Linked DNA regions of Arabidopsis thaliana. The protein of the gene in region 1 binds, or shares a complex with, the protein of each later gene. Each region holds a gene or a part of one and is shown in the gene's direction. Other genes may lie near its edges.

What was found.
Region 2: SKIP (region 1) and SR34b share a complex: the UniProt entries of both Arabidopsis thaliana proteins name them as parts of the spliceosome.

Annotation. Positions count from the first base shown.
Region 1 is NC_003070.9:28,997,816-29,005,909, reverse strand, and holds SKIP (chromatin protein family), read left to right. Parts: upstream 1-3,774; 5' UTR 3,775-3,946; intron 3,947-4,069; exon of another isoform or gene 4,070-4,245; 5' UTR 4,246-4,277; coding exon 4,278-6,119; 3' UTR 6,120-6,333; downstream 6,334-8,094. Other genes in the region: AT1G77200 (Integrase-type DNA-binding superfamily protein), read left to right, coding at 819-1,553; AT1G77170 (Tetratricopeptide repeat (TPR)-like superfamily protein), read left to right, coding at 6,374-7,777. UniProt on the Arabidopsis thaliana protein: Splicing factor involved in post-transcriptional regulation of circadian clock and flowering time genes. Associates with the pre-mRNA of PRR7, PRR9, ELF3 and GI, and is necessary for the regulation of their alternative splicing and mRNA maturation.
Region 2 is NC_003075.7:1,065,965-1,074,874, forward strand, and holds SR34b (RNA-binding (RRM/RBD/RNP motifs) family protein), read left to right. Parts: upstream 1-3,009; 5' UTR 3,010-3,046; exon of another isoform or gene 3,047-3,117; intron 3,118-3,210; 5' UTR 3,211-3,221; coding exon 3,222-3,308; exon of another isoform or gene 3,309-3,412; coding exon of another isoform or gene 3,413-3,493; coding exon 3,494-3,559; intron 3,560-3,701; coding exon 3,702-3,776; intron 3,777-3,867; coding exon 3,868-4,003; intron 4,004-4,081; coding exon 4,082-4,128; intron 4,129-4,216; coding exon 4,217-4,274; intron 4,275-4,403; coding exon 4,404-4,453; intron 4,454-4,561; coding exon of another isoform or gene 4,562-4,571; coding exon 4,572-4,619; intron 4,620-4,692; coding exon 4,693-4,922; coding exon of another isoform or gene 4,923-4,944; exon of another isoform or gene 4,945-5,309; coding exon of another isoform or gene 5,310-5,320; coding exon 5,321-5,402; 3' UTR 5,403-5,710; intron 5,711-5,878; 3' UTR 5,879-5,964; intron 5,965-6,038; 3' UTR 6,039-6,259; downstream 6,260-8,910. Other genes in the region: AT4G02420 (Concanavalin A-like lectin protein kinase family protein), read right to left, coding at 1-408; AT4G02425 (LYR motif protein), read right to left, coding at 1,567-1,682, 2,027-2,699; EID1 (F-box family protein), read left to right, coding at 6,591-7,601; AT4G02450 (HSP20-like chaperones superfamily protein), read right to left, coding at 8,023-8,135, 8,357-8,492, 8,586-8,713, 8,821-8,910. UniProt on the Arabidopsis thaliana protein: Probably involved in intron recognition and spliceosome assembly.

The DNA of each region.
Region 1 (8,094 bases):
AAGATACAAGACGACAAACAAACACACACATATATATATATATATATGATTGTATTTCTCCATTTTAGCTATATATTGTATAAGTAAACACTAGTCGACAAAAAAAAACACACAATCTCGAATTATAGACAATTTATATTGATCGTAAAATGATATTCTATTAGTGAATAGACCAAGTTACCAACGAGACCTAAGAAAACATCGCTACAAAAAATCATAGTCTAGTTGTATGGTCGTGTTAGCATTCTGATTAATCGTCATATTGTATCAATCGCTATATTGTTGAACTCATAGTAGCATATTTGGAAATAATTCCTAATGAAATATTACTATCCCATTAAAATTAAAGTTGAAATAAGCTCATGGACACATTATAATAGGTTAAACATATTTTTGATTTTTTTCTGCCCATTCTCCCTTTACTATTGCATAAGTTCTTAGTCAATTTTAACAAAACAAAAATATAAGTTCCTAGTCAATTCCGAATGGGAATGTTATTACCCCATTGAATTGATCAAGTTCATACATGGACCATGCATAGGTTATCACGAAGAGATAAATAAACATTTACTTGCCGAATGCAAAATATCAACATTAAATAAACGAAAACAAAAAATGGGTCATTCTCAAATAATATTGATGTGTGAATTTATAATGTGTACACACCTGTCATCATAAGTAAGCGATCGACTGTCCTTTTCTAACTAACTTCAACATTTCACTTCAATACTTCAACTCTCTTTCTCTCTCTCTCTAGTCTTTATATAAACCCTACGTACGTACTCTCTTCACACTCACTGAGTCAAACTCACGTGTCAATGACCGAGTCATCCATTATCTCCGTCAAACAATCGTCTCCGGTGCCGGAGGAGGAGGATCATCATCATCACCAACAAGACTCCCACCGAACCAACACCAAGAAACGTGTAAGATCCGACCCGGGTTACCGAGGCGTCCGGATGCGAACGTGGGGCAAATGGGTCTCCGAGATCCGAGAGCCTCGCAAGAAGAGCCGAATCTGGCTAGGCACTTTCTCCACACCGGAAATGGCGGCGCGTGCACATGACGCAGCTGCTCTCACCATTAAAGGAACTTCCGCCGTCCTCAACTTCCCGGAGCTCGCCACTTACCTTCCCCGTCCAGCTTCCTCCTCTCCACGCGACGTTCAAGCCGCAGCCGCCGTAGCGGCCGCCATGGACTTCTCCCCCTCCTCCTCCTCTCTCGTAGTCTCCGATCCAACCACCGTCATCGCCCCAGCTGAGACGCAGTTGTCTTCCTCGAGCTATTCAACGTGTACGTCATCGTCGTTGTCACCGTCAAGCGAAGAAGCTGCGTCGACGGCGGAAGAACTAAGCGAGATAGTGGAGTTACCGAGTCTAGAGACGAGTTACGATGAGTCATTGAGCGAGTTTGTGTACGTTGACTCGGCGTATCCACCTAGTTCGCCTTGGTATATTAATAATTGTTATAGCTTTTATTACCACAGCGACGAAAATGGCATTTCGATGGCTGAACCTTTCGACTCTTCCAATTTTGGCCCCCTTTTTCCTTAGTTTTATTTTTAAATAATCTCTTCTTTTAAAAACATTTAGCCTCCAAACCTCTGAAGTTTATTTAATTATTGGATTCAGACCAGAGTTTAATATACTTGATTAAACCTGATAGTACCATATAATGTTTATTGCTCTCTTTTTTTTGATCGGATCTTCTAGATATTTTGTACGAACACGCCAATTGTGATTGGACGATAAATGGTTTTTTGTTTATATTTTGCTAATTAACTTATATAGTTTAGGTGACCATTTTTTATACTTTAGGTGAACATTTGAGAATTAAACTATTTATATCAAAGTAGCGGTAGATAAAAGTATTATCTGAGATGGTTTGTTAGTTGACATATATTGAATCTTTTCAACTTGGTATTTATTATCACCCTCTGTATTTAATTCACAAAATTTCTACTGTTAGCTTCATATAACCAACTTTTTCAATTTAAATTATTGTTTACAGTGAATGAGAAATACAAGTACAATGCAATATTTAGGAAATACACTTTTGAGAAGAAAAATAGAAACTCATTTTCTTTCCCTAATTAAAAACAATTTGTACCAGAGAAGTAAAAGATTATCGTTCTACCAAAACGAATTTGCAGGTTAAGGATTATTTATCATTTCCTCTTGTTTGACTTTGTTTGCATTAGTCAGACATAATTAATGGCTTGACCCTTAATTTAACATGTCCATGCACTAACTCATATGCAAATCCAACGATGTGAAATTTAAAACCTTTTTTTTATTCATTTTTAATCTTTGTAAAACGAACTTATATTATGTTTGAACAAATATTTTTTCATACGCAATCCTTAGATGGGGAAATTAATACCTTTGTAACAAAAAAAAAAAAAAAATGTTAAATCAACTAAGTATTGGGTGAGTCTTCTCAACGAAAACATCAATCAACACCGGCCTCATAAGTTGATTAAATTAACACATTTATTATAATCATCGTACATTGATTTGAATCAAAATTAATTGTTACGTTAATTAGTAATGCATCTAACTATCCCGTAGGAAAAGGCCATTATATTGGGATCCGCGGTCAACGGAGGTTCCACCCACGAGCACGGTCTTTATTTGTTTTTTCCTTTCTCAAATATATATACGGATGTATGATTTTTTGCTTTTGGGGTTAAACAAATATGAATTACTGTGCTTAGATCAGAAATAGACACTTTTATACAAATGATTATATGATTACTGTTCATAGCATAAGCTCCTATGAAAACAAATAATAATCGCAACAGCCGTTTAACCTAATCGAATGCTGAAAAGCCCTCAAAATAGTTCATCTAATCCATGAATCGATTTAACAGAAAAAGTTGAAAATTGTATGCATATGATATACTCAAGTATATTCCGAGTTTTGAGTTGTGTAATGCAAGGAGTCAAGGACCATAGTTTGTCGTTGAACACAACCACGCCAAGTTGTCCACCAAAACTGGAAACTAACTACCATGCCGTTGTTTCCATAGAAGCAAAACCATTAACCTTCCCATTATCCCGCATGGCCACATATATGTTTAATAATATTTCTCACCATACATTTAAGTCTCTCTCGTAGTCGTTATTTACATAGCCTACGTAGTTCATTCATATCATTTTTGTTTCTTTACCTTATATCAAACAAATTGGTTGTTGATTAGAAAAACATAAATTGGTTCATTAAATATCAAACTAACGCCATCAATCTATTGTTTTTTTATAAAAAAATGAAAGAGAAGAAAGTTTGTTGATATGAAACTTACACTTGCTTTGAGTTTTGATAGACAAACCAAAGCCTAACTAGTATTTCCTCTATTGGTACTTGAATTCTGAACTTTTTCACCTTCCCTTTCGAGGTGGTTTAACAGTATACCAGTTGAGATGTACCAACACCAAATTCTTATACTTTTTTTTCTTTTAACCTTGAATTCAGTATTTTAAACGAAACTATGGGAATGTGTTTGAGACGGATTTTCATTAAGGACAATGCAAATAATTATGAGATGCTCAGAATTGTTGTATATATCAAAAAGCCAACACCTATAGTTATATATATAACTTTCTTCGATTTAAAAACAATAAGTCGCTTTGGCCGAGTGGTTAAGGCGTGTGCCTGCTAAGTACATGGGCTCTGCCCGCGAGAGTTCGAATCTCTCAGGCGACGTTATCCTTTTCGTTTTTTCGTCTATTTTTAAACCGACTTACATAGACACTGCGTATAAGACAATTGATTCCTTTTTTTTGTTGTTAATCCTATCAACCCTAGAAAAGGCTTCACGCCCGATTTCTTTTTTCCCCAGAAAAAGGCTTCACTTCCGTTCGTTGTTCTTCATCGGTCTGCGCCGCCTCGCACATCGTTTCACCTTTCTCAGAATCTCTCTTCCCGTCGATTAGTTTCCTCAGAGGTTAGCTTCTTCGATTTCTCAGATTCAATTCTGCTTTTTGCTTTCCTCCTGTTGTTTTTAGGTTTTTGTCGATCTCTATGTTCAGCGATTCCTAAACCCTACTTGTTTTCCGCTCTATTGTAGTGAATCCAACCCAGATTTTTCAGATTTTAATCGGAATTATTCGGGATCTAATGCTCGCGTCGAGTTTATCGCTAGAAAACCCTAATTTCGGAGGATCTGTCACTTTTATTATCAGAAGCTTGTTGTTGTAATTACGGATTAGGTATGTCCTGATCGTTATTGTTCTTTGTTTGCAGGTTGCGATTTGTTGAAAACCTTGATTTAGACTATGAAGTCTCTTAATGATCTTCCTGCGCCCAAATCAACCACTACCACGTATTATGATCATTCTAATGATGCTTGGTTCAAAAACCGAGTCACTGAATCCGAGACGGTGAAATCCTCCAGTATCAAATTTAAAGTGGTGCCTGCTTACCTGAATCGTCAAGGTTTACGTCCGAAGAATCCAGAGGATTTTGGCGATGGTGGTGCTTTCCCGGAGATTCATCTTCCTCAGTATCCTCTTCTTATGGGTAAGAATAAATCCAATAAGCCTGGAGCTAAGACTCTCCCTGTTACTGTCGATGCTCAGGGAAACGTGGTCTTTGACGCTATAGTGAGGCAGAATGAGAACTCGAGGAAGATTGTTTATTCTCAGCATAAGGATATTATTCCAAAGTTTCTGAAAAACGAGGGAGACTTGGGTACTGTTGTTGATGAAGAGGAGGAATTGCAGAAGGAGATTCAGGAGACTGCTGAAGAAACGAAAGCTGCCATTGAGAAGATTGTGAATGTGAGACTGAGTGCAGCGCAGCCTAGTAATATAGCAAGGCAATCGGGAGATTCACAGTACATTAAATATAAGCCATCCCAGCAATCTTCTGCCTTCAATTCTGGTGCTAAAGAGAGGATCATTAGGATGGTGGAGATGCCTGTAGATCCACTTGATCCACCAAAGTTCAAGCACAAGAGAGTCCCAAGGGCTTCTGGTTCTCCGCCTGTTCCGGTCATGCATTCACCGCCCAGGCCTGTTACCGTCAAGGACCAGCAAGACTGGAAAATCCCTCCTTGTATCTCCAATTGGAAGAATCCGAAAGGTTACACAATCCCTCTTGACAAACGTCTAGCTGCTGATGGAAGGGGCCTACAAGACGTTCAGATCAATGATAACTTTGCCAAGTTATCAGAGGCCCTCTATGTAGCTGAGCAGAAAGCTAGAGAGGCTGTTTCAATGCGTTCCAAGGTGCAAAAAGAGATGGTGATGAAGGACAAGGAAAGGAAAGAGCAGGAATTGAGGGCTCTTGCCCAAAAAGCTCGCTCCGAAAGAACCGGTGCTGCTATGAGTATGCCTGTCTCATCTGACAGGGGTAGGAGTGAAAGTGTTGACCCAAGAGGTGATTATGACAACTATGACCAGGATAGAGGAAGGGAAAGAGAAAGGGAAGAGCCTCAAGAGACGAGGGAGGAGAGGGAAAAAAGGATTCAGAGAGAAAAGATACGAGAAGAGCGTCGCAGGGAAAGAGAGAGGGAGAGAAGGTTGGATGCCAAAGATGCTGCCATGGGGAAGAAGAGCAAGATCACCAGAGACAGAGACCGTGACATCAGTGAGAAAGTTGCTCTTGGAATGGCATCTACTGGAGGAAAAGGTGGTGGTGAAGTTATGTATGATCAACGTCTGTTTAACCAAGACAAAGGAATGGACTCTGGTTTCGCTGCTGATGACCAATACAACTTATACGACAAAGGCTTGTTCACTGCACAACCAACTCTTTCGACTTTGTACAAGCCAAAGAAGGATAACGATGAAGAAATGTATGGAAACGCTGATGAGCAGCTCGATAAGATCAAGAATACTGAGAGGTTTAAGCCTGACAAAGCTTTCACAGGGGCTTCAGAGAGGGTGGGTAGTAAGAGAGACCGACCTGTTGAGTTTGAGAAGGAAGAGGAACAAGATCCTTTCGGTCTTGAGAAGTGGGTTTCTGATTTAAAGAAGGGTAAGAAACCTTTGGACAAGATCGGGTCTGGTGGAACTATGAGAGCAAGTGGCGGTGGTGGTAGCTCTTCAAGGGACGATGACCACGGCGGTTCTGGTCGAACCAAGATCAATTTCGAACGCAGTGACCGGCGTTAAAAGTCAAGACAAAGAAAAAGCTCAGTAACTGATCTTTGATTTCAATATATAACTTGTTATTTTGGATCTGTTAAAACAGTTTGCTTTGGATTATCAGTATTTATGTTGTTGTGAGTCTCTTAAACTACTCGAATACAATCTTTCAGCTTCATAATATCAGATCTTTTGAGCTTATTTTAGTTTCTTTTTCACTGTTACAACTTTGTGTACTTAAGAATCTTAGTTTTGAATCAGGACAACAACAAAAAAGACACATGTTCTTCTCTGGTCTTATCTCCAAGCTTCATGTTCATGGTACTAAGAGAACAAATCACTTCACGATCTTTCACCGTTTGAATCATTTCGTCACTACATCATCTTCCTCGGTTACGCCTCTTTCGCCTCAAGATCGAAACAAACTCTTAGCTACTCTGTTATCAAACTGCACTAGCCTAGCTCGTGTTCGTCGGATCCATGGTGACATCTTCCGTTCACGAATCCTCGATCAATATCCGATCGCTTTCTTATGGAACAACATCATGCGATCTTACATTCGCCATGAGTCTCCTCTCGATGCAATTCAAGTATATCTCGGTATGGTGAGATCGACTGTTTTACCCGATCGATATTCTCTTCCGATTGTAATCAAAGCAGCCGTTCAAATTCATGATTTTACGTTGGGAAAGGAGCTTCATTCCGTCGCCGTTAGGTTAGGGTTCGTCGGAGATGAGTTCTGCGAGAGTGGGTTCATTACATTGTATTGTAAAGCAGGGGAATTTGAGAACGCACGTAAGGTGTTCGATGAAAATCCTGAGAGAAAGCTGGGGTCTTGGAACGCCATTATCGGAGGGTTGAATCACGCTGGTCGAGCTAACGAGGCGGTGGAAATGTTTGTGGATATGAAAAGGAGTGGACTTGAGCCTGATGATTTCACTATGGTTAGTGTGACTGCTTCTTGTGGAGGATTAGGTGACTTGAGCTTGGCTTTTCAGTTGCATAAATGCGTTCTACAAGCTAAGACCGAAGAGAAGTCTGATATCATGATGCTGAATTCGCTCATTGATATGTATGGAAAATGTGGGCGTATGGATTTAGCGAGTCACATATTCGAGGAAATGCGACAGAGAAACGTTGTCTCTTGGAGTTCTATGATCGTGGGTTACGCAGCTAACGGGAATACATTAGAGGCTTTAGAATGCTTTCGTCAGATGAGAGAATTCGGTGTCAGACCAAACAAGATCACGTTCGTTGGAGTTCTCAGTGCTTGCGTCCATGGAGGTCTTGTGGAGGAAGGAAAAACATATTTTGCGATGATGAAGTCAGAGTTCGAGCTAGAACCGGGATTATCGCATTACGGATGCATAGTTGATCTATTGAGCCGTGACGGGCAGCTTAAGGAGGCAAAGAAAGTTGTTGAGGAGATGCCGATGAAGCCTAACGTGATGGTTTGGGGTTGTTTGATGGGAGGGTGTGAGAAGTTTGGGGATGTTGAGATGGCTGAGTGGGTGGCTCCATACATGGTTGAGCTTGAGCCGTGGAACGATGGTGTTTATGTTGTCTTGGCTAATGTGTATGCACTCAGAGGGATGTGGAAAGATGTTGAGAGAGTTAGGAAGTTGATGAAGACGAAGAAGGTTGCTAAGATTCCTGCCTATAGCTATGCTTCAACGACATTTTGAAACTTGTTTCTCTACATGTTCGAAAAATGTAACATCATAACAAAGAAGATCAAGATAATTTTTCTAATTAGATCCTTAATCCTTCTATTTTATTCACTCACTGAGAAACAACACCTGACATTGCAGTTTTAGATTTAGTAAATTAAGTACTCAGATATCGTGTTGGCAATTTTGCTAGTCATTTCCGACATCAAGATCATGTCGAGAGGAGTTTAAAACTCGATTTCAACTAATTGAAGGCTTCCGGTTTAATGTGTTCAATTTCCGGTTTACTGATTTCATTTTGGAAAACAACAAGGCGGGACCCAGGAATTGTT
Region 2 (8,910 bases), on another chromosome or scaffold:
GTTCCTAACGTTACCGTTGTTTGTTACATTGAAGAGACCGAGGTATTGTAAGGGGCTGCCGAATGGGAGGCGAGGGTTAGGAGCGATGACAAAGGCCATGCCGTGTGCAATGGGTATCTGAGAGTGAATAGCGAAGACAAAGGTAGTGGAGAAAGACGATACGGTACCGTTTGGAGAATCTTTGAACCGGATTGGTTTGGTATAGAAGGCGTGACCGGTGCTCTGCATGGTTGTGTTGGTTAGCTTTAAGAGACCGTTTGGTGTGATGGTGGCAATTCCTAGGATGGATATGTCTGTCGGTGGAGGACGGAAGCCATTGTAAGTGAAGTCGATAATTTGGGAAGAGGACTTTAGGGATTGCCAAAAGAAGCTTAAGAAGAAGATGGTGAAGAGCTTGATGAAGAACATGGTGAAGAGTTTTATTTTATTTTTGTTGGCTTTGGTTTAGGTATTTGAGTTTGTAAAGAAAATTTATGGAGAGTGTGGAAAAGTCATTTTTTGTATTGGTCAAGGGAAAAGTCGTTTCGGCTTAACCTATATTAGAGGTCATGGTAGAGACTCACGAAGATGAATGACGGATCATAAAGGTTTTCAATTTGTAATGTTGTGGTACAACGTGTGTTTGTCTCCGGTGTAACTTATCTTGTCTCACATTAATAGAGGCTTTGATTAGAGATGTACAACGTGTATCATCTCATTATGTGTAAGTCACTATTGAGTGAAGCTGATGAGTTAGTAAACGATAGCCATAACTAAATCTAATTGCAAAAACAATGTGTCACTACTCTGTTTTCCATTGTGTTAAGGTTTGGGATTTAATCATTTGGTATCAAATCACGTTTTGGTTTTGATCCGAACCACAATAGTGGTATTAGTACCGCACCTAACTTTCATTCTTTTGTTTTTAGTCAAAACTATTTTGTGGTAGACAAACTTCCATCTATTATCTTGGTTTTAATTCGGACCACAATTGTACTATCAAGTCTCTATCCGGAAAAAATAATAATTGTTCACCCTCGTGACTACGGCATTCTATTTGCACAAGGACAGAGAGTCATGACTAAGTCTTTCTTTTAACTTCCATCAATTGCAAATAATTGTGTCATATTCTGATTCATATAATAAAGGAGCAAGAGTAACAATCATAGTTGTCTTTTTTAGTTACATTTGTCTACATATACTCTCCGCGACAGAGTCCCAAATGAAGGTCACCAACTTGGTTTCCGTAAACGGAATGGTCTTTTGTGCAGCTATACACGCATTGTGGTTTTCGTAAATCTTTCTCCAGATCGTCGAATCTTTGAGACATCCATATCACCAAAAAAAGGGCACAGATTTTTCTATAAAAAAAATGTTTGACAAAGCTCTTTACAGTTTCAGGTGTTAGGACAAATACATATTAACGTTTCTCCAATAAGACCTCTTCTCTTGGTATCTGTAAACAACTCGGTAAGAATGTCTGCGGATCATCATGAGGGTGGATGAGCATGGAGTCAACAGTTTTGTTATGTTCATCATCTCATGGAGACATTACTGAATAACTGAATAGTAATGTCTTTGTTATGTTCATCTCATGGAGTCAACAGTTTTGTAGTCATGTTGTCTTCTTCGCCGGCACCTGAATTGAGGTTTACTATCTGAGAATTTCGTCTCACCAGACATCCCCATTGTTGAATCTGTATCTGCTCCAAATCCAAAACACTCACCAATCACTAAACATATCAAAATACCAAGTACATACATATCCATTTCAGACAATGACCTAACATGATAAGAACCCAATTCCACAATGTACAATCATTATTTCATTCCCTAACCCAAATTTGACAACTTTCTGACAATTCCTATGAGGCAATGCCATAATAGACAAGCAGAGCAAAATCAGACTCATTTTCATCAGAAGAAATAACACTAAAGTTGTCATCTTTAATCTAATCAATGATGATCAATCTCCAAATCTTCATAGCAAAAACCACGAATCTCAAGATGGAACACAATTGCTATAAAAAGTCTCTGAATTTAATACCTCCCCAAAACAATGGCTTGACATCTTCTTCTTCATCATCAAATTCATCACCATAGCCAAACTCAGCATCACCTCTGTAACCAGGCTCACTCCCATACCCAGATTCATTCCCCATTGGATCAACTCCATTAGCAAATCCAAATCCACCAGAAGCTTCCTTCTCTCCACCAGAATCTCGCCGCTCTCTCCGTGAATTCCTCGCCGCCTCACTCACATCAGAAGCCCAATTCGCTTCACCAAAAAGCTCTCCACTTGAATCTGTACCAACAGCGAAAGGCAAATCCGAACAAGTCCCATGAGCACCAATGGAGCAACATCTCCGAGTCCCACTCCGATCACTACTCCGACCAGACACCGATCTCGAATTACGCCGCCGCCGCTTCCTCGCTACTAACCTGAAACTTCCTCTATTGCTGTAATTGGAAGCTGATAATGTCTTCCCTCCATTGTCGTCGTCGGCGAGTGAGAGACGGCTCATAGCTTCGATGGTGAAAGAAGTGGATCGATCGGAGAAGCAAGGGCGTTTGGGAGTAAAGGAGTGAAACCCATTGGTCTGCGGTGGTTGGTCAGATGAGTCTAGGGTTTTGGAGCGGTGAAATGGTCGCCATGAGAGAAGCTGTGAAGTGCATGATTCAATAGAGCTTCGTGATGACTCTAGATGTTTCGGAGACATTGTTAAAGGTAACAACTTTCCAGATCACAAAAAGCGAAAATGAAAAAAGAAAAATCCTTTTGAGTGAATCTGAAATTGGGAATGGATCTGTGTTGTTTTCAAGTTCTTTGAGAATATCGAGTAGTGAAGATTTGGAGTTGTTCTTTTGGGTTTAAGAGCTTTTGATTGAAGATTACGATTTGTTGCAAAACGGGTCAAATGTATTTTATACGGTCAAGACACAATGTATTTTAATACGTACCCGGTCGGTCACGTGACTCACGTGATGATCTCTATGGTATTCGAAAGCCCTAGTCAGATTTCAATTTTCGCCTTTCTTCTTCTCTTCCATCGGAATTTTCTCTCAGGTGATCGGAATCGTTACTGGAATTTTAGTTCATATATAGACGATCAATCAAACCTCTTTAGTTTTCCTTAGGTTAATCGTTATCCAATGAGTTTTTTTTGTGTGTGATCGCTTCTTTGTTTCGATCTATTGACGTTTCGAATCTCAATTTTGATTTTGGTATAGGAAAGAAATAAATGAGCAGCCGTTCGAGTAGAACGATTTACGTCGGGAACCTTCCCGGCGATATCCGTGAAAGAGAAGTTGAAGACTTGTTCAGTAAGGTAAATTACTCGTTTCTCCTAATTTAAGAACTCAGAACTCAGGATCGAATTTTGTGTTATGTGATGAATATGTCTTTACAAGATTTGCATGTGAAAGAAATTGAATGCATCTTCGGAATTGTTGGATTCTGATTTTATTTGGAAGAAGTTTCCTTAAGAATTGTTCTTCCTTATTTTTTTTGAAGTATGGACCTGTTGTTCAAATCGATTTGAAGATTCCGCCGAGGCCTCCAGGCTATGCATTCGTCGAGGTCAGATTTTTTATGCAACCACATGTTTTATAAAGGCTTGTTGTTGATTTTACAGTTAGGCTCTTCGTTGTTGTTGAGTGTTCATGAGTTTTCAAATGTTGGGAGATACTACCACTAATGTTTTGTGATATATGTGATTTAGTTTGAGGATGCTCGTGATGCTGATGATGCAATTTATGGCCGTGATGGTTATGACTTTGATGGGCATCATTTACGGGTTTGTTAATCATCAAATTTCAGAATTTTTACACAAACTTTGTATTGTTGACTGGTAGCCAAACATAATTTATGTGTGTTGGCCATTGCAGGTGGAACTAGCTCATGGTGGGAGGCGTTCATCACATGATGCACGCGGTAGTTATAGTGGTCGTGGTCGTGGCGGTCGTGGTGGTGGTGACGGTGGTGGTCGTGAACGTGGACCATCTAGGAGATCAGAGTACCGCGGTACATATGATATGTTTAGCTTTAGTGTATTCATAAGTTTTAGGAGAAATCACTAAATTAAGATTTTCCACTATACAGTTGTAGTGTCAGGTTTGCCTTCATCTGCGTCCTGGCAAGACCTCAAGGTGATTACACAGTTGTGGACAGATTCCTCATTGTCGTTCCTATATTTTCTACGATTTCTGAATGTTGACATATCACTTTGTTTTGAAGGATCACATGCGTAAAGGAGGAGAAGTTTGTTTTTCTCAAGTGTTTCGTGATGGTAGAGGTAAATCCTCATGTCTTACCCAAGAATAGAGATGTGTCTAAAGCTGTTTGGGTTTTCTGCCTTTAAATCCTGTTTTAACTAGTCTGTGCATGCTTTAAAAAATCTATATCGTGGACTATTTATTTACAGGTACAACTGGAATTGTAGATTATACCAGCTACGAGGACATGAAATATGCGGTGAGATGTTTTTCTTCCTCTTCATATTATTTGATTTTCTGTGTGGGACTGTGGCTGAGAATGTGTTCATCCTTGATTACTCATGATTATATTCTTTATTTTGTCCAGATAAAAAAAGCTCGATGACACAGAGTTTCGGAATGCGTTTTCTCATGAATATGTTCGGGTATGTTAAAGACAAGAATTCTGAGAGCTGCATTCGTTTTTATTGCACTTAACATTTCCCTATGTCATTACAGGTTAGAGAATATGATTCAAGGAGGGATTCGAGGAGCCCCAGCCGTGGAAGATCCTATTCTAAGAGCCGCAGCCGTGGACGGAGTCCCAGCCGTAGTCGTAGCCGCAGCAGAAGCAGGAGCAAGAGCAGAAGTCCAAAGGCTAAATCTTTGCGTAGATCGCCTGCAAAATCTACATCGAGATCTCCTCGCTCTCGCTCCCGCTCTAAGTCGAGGTCACTGTCTCCACGAGGGTATGCTTCATTTCTTCTATAATGTTTATGCTAAAATATCCAACATAAAACATAACATAGGCTCTATTTAGCTCTTCCCTTGAAGTTTGGTGACATCACATTAAAAGATGTCACTGGGATGACTCCGAGTTGTTGATTGAGAATGATGATTGCTTCTAGTTAAGGGTACACGATTTATTTCCTTTGAAAGTCTGGTCTTTTATAATTATAGTGTTGAGAATGGTTTTGTTTCTTAGATATGGATATACATACAATCAACTAAAATATGGGAAATAGTATCTGGATCATGGATGTCTTGGTTGGTTGTACACAACTGTTTCGTCTCAGAGGTATATGCTCTTTCTTAGATGGGCAAGTTCGTTTTCTGATAATATCCATTGCTGCTAGATGGGTAACAGTGGAGAGACATTGGATCGCATTGATATAGTGTCATCAAAATGGACCCATCGAGCTAGGACAGATATTTTCATTACCTGCTAATCGACAAGCGATCTGGATTCTCATGGAACCGATGCTGTTCTGGACACAGGGTTTGATAGAATTAGATTTGCTTTGATATTCTCCATCTCTACCATCTGTTTTAACGAAAAGCAGGCTTGTGTTGGTTTGATTTTCTGCTAGAAATAGTCTGAAGATATGTTTTTTTCTTTTTTGCTTCTTGTGATTGTGTTTTGATGTCTGACATGGAATGAGGCATCAAGGGTCTTGGTGAAACAGCTATTAAACACGGAAATATTGGATTTTTAAAACTGGATTTGTTTCTCGGACTTTTGCAGATCTCGTTCAAGGTCAAGATCTCCTCTACCCTCTCTAAGTCATCTATCTCTAATACACTTTTTACTCCGCTATACTATCAGCACAATATTTTCGGTTTTCAATCCATACTATCCAAAAGACATGATCTATGTCTAGCTAATTACATTCTCATCATCTGGATTGAATTGTGTGTGTTGCAGGTTCAGAAGGAAGCAAGTAAGAGCCCTAGCAAGCAGCTGAGCCCTATCCGTGGTAGGAGCAAGAGCAGAAGCAGGAGTCCATCTCGGTAATGCACACTCTTTTTAACTTGCTTGGAACATTCTCACTCTTTCTCTGAATCTCTTTCCAACTGTTTTACAGGTAAAGAAACATCTCATATCAGGTAAAAAGCTGGGTCTGTTGGAAGATTCTCATAAAGATGATCTCTCTTATGTATGAGAAGTTGAAAAACTAGTTGTGTATTTCATTCTTATTAGCTTGGGTTTGCACATGGGAATGATATATACTCAGTCATCATCAGTTTATGAGCTAAGCTCAGCTGATTTATATGACTTGCTAATATAGTTAGTGCTTAAAACGAACTATCAAAAATTACTGTCGAATACCAAACTTAATTCAAAAGCTCACAATTCGATATTAAAATTTTGAAAACGTTCACAATAAATGAACCTAAAAAGACATGTGCATTGAACTCATTTTGATACCCGGACCCTTTACATTTTAGTTCAGTCCGTACGATGTCATTTTCGAGAGCTGTTGCGCATTACTTACTTGCCTTTGTGTGGGTGTTAGTGAATCTGTGACCCACCTTAAGAACAGTTAAGACTATTCCCGGTTTACGCGTACCGGACCCATAACAGTATAAGTGAATTTGGATAAGAAAGGAGCCGCCTAGAGAGAAGAAGGCGATCCATGGCGGAATCTGTCTTCTCTTGTATACCAGAAGACGTAGTCTTCAACATCTTCTTCAAGCTCCAAGATGATCCAAGAAACTGGGCTCGTCTCGCTTGCGTCTGCACCAAATTCTCCTCAATTGTTCGAAACGTTTGTTGTAAAACTCAGTGCTACTCCGCTATCCCCACCGTCATCTCCGATCTCCTCCCTCTTCCTCCCTCCGCCGCCGCATCCGCTTCTTCATCCACCGCGGCGGATTCGTCTCTTACTCCTCCCGGTGGTTGGGCTTCTTTATACAAACTCGCTGTTTGTTGTCCTGGTCTCTTCCACGCTGGAATTCTCCTCGAAAACTCCGATTTCGGTTTAGAACGTGAGCTAGGTCCCGATCAAAACCTCGATCCGAAACCTACTACGACGGATCTAGCTCTTAACGACGAAGAAGTTTCGAAACCAGTTGGATCTGGTTTAGAAACGACTTCGTTTTGGTCTCTATATGATGATCTCTACACAGATACTATTCCCGCTCCTCCTCCCGAAGATTCAATCGACGATCAAGAAGAAGAAATCGAAACGAGTGAGATCAGACCTGGACGAGATCTTCCGGTAAGGAAACGAAGGAAGATTTGTCGATCTCTAGGATCTCATTTAGCTTCCGGTGGCTGGAACCTTAGCCGTGAACAAGGCAACAAGCTTCTCGCGAGTAGATTCCGAGGTGATTGTCTCTACATTTGCAATTGGCCTGGGTGTATTCACGTAGAAGAGAAACGAAATTACATGTTGTTTAGAGGAGTCTTCAAGGATTTCAAAAGGTCTAGAGTTTGGAGAACGATAAACGACGGTAATCGGAGTAAGACCTCGGGTTTGAAATGCGCGTTTTGTTTGTGCGATGAGACTTGGGATTTGCATTCATCGTTTTGTTTGAGAAGAGTGTTTGGGTTTCATGATGATGGTGAACCAGTTGTGAGAGCTTATGTTTGTGAGAATGGTCATGTCTCTGGTGCTTGGACTGCTTTACCTCTCTACACTTGATAGCTCACTAGAGAGGACAGGTCTTTCATTCTTCTTCCACGGTCTCAAGTCTCAATCTTGTTTGATGTATTTGTAGGAATAGTGTCATTGTGTTTCAAATTCTGGTTAATGTTTAAGTAATGGTTGAAGAAAATTGGCTCAACATATTGTGGTTGTTTTGTTTCAATGTTGACAACATATTAGACTTCGATTCAAATGCATAAACTCTTACGTCAAAGCCAAAAATTTCAAGTCCAAGAACATTTGGAAACAATATAACCCAAAACAAAAGGTAGAAGAAACTTAAACCAAGATCAAATCCATAGAAAGAAAACAGAGTACCAACAACATTCATATAAAAGAGGAAGTAATTCAGAGGGTTTCATAAACCTGAAAAGCTAATAATACCATATGGTTTTTCATCATCTCTAGAACAGAGTCTTCACTTGTCTTCCTTAACAGATGTTGTTTCTTCTGCCGCTGGTGCCTTCTCTGTCGCAAGACCTTCCTCCTTAACGGCATCATCCTTCTTGTCTCCTGATTTTGCTGTCTCTTCTGCAATTTACAGAAAATGTTTCATTACTTCAAAATTCTGCATTTTGTTGAGGAACAAAGAAACACAAAAATCTGCAAAATGTTTCCTAAGACAGAGTACTTGGCATATCATATGGAATATGAGATACTTCAATAACAAAGTCAATCAACTCTGGCGAAATGCTTTCATTTCAAGGAGGCTGTGACCAAACATAAACGAGAAAGATCTTCAAAAGTATTACCTTCATCATCACTGTCTTCAAACTCTTCCATGCCTCCCATACCACCCATGCCTCCCATTCCACCCATGCCTCCCATTCCACCGAGCCCTTCGAGTCCGCCCATTCCACCCATTCCACCCATTCCACCCATTAATTTCTGCACGAAGCAAGGATCAAGTATGAGGTCATTTCTCAGAGCTAGGTATATCTGAAGCACAAAATGAAGGACAATCAAAAGTTAGAAACAAACCGAGAAATCCATTCCTTCCATTCCTCCCATTCCACCCATTCCTCCCATTCCACCCATTCCTCCCATGCCGCCCATGCCTCCCATTCCTCCCATTCCTTCCATTCCTGCCATATCCATATCTGCGGCACCTAAACATAACATAGAAAACAAATAAGTTAACACATCCTGAACTTTATATAAAGTGCAGAGAGTGTACACAAGAACAGATAATATAAGCGTTAAGATGAATGCTAACCAGCACTGCCTTCATCGTCCTCATCAACCCACTTGTCCCAATCAACCTTGACATAGTGTGGGGGCTTCTTCACACGGAGTAGCTTATTCC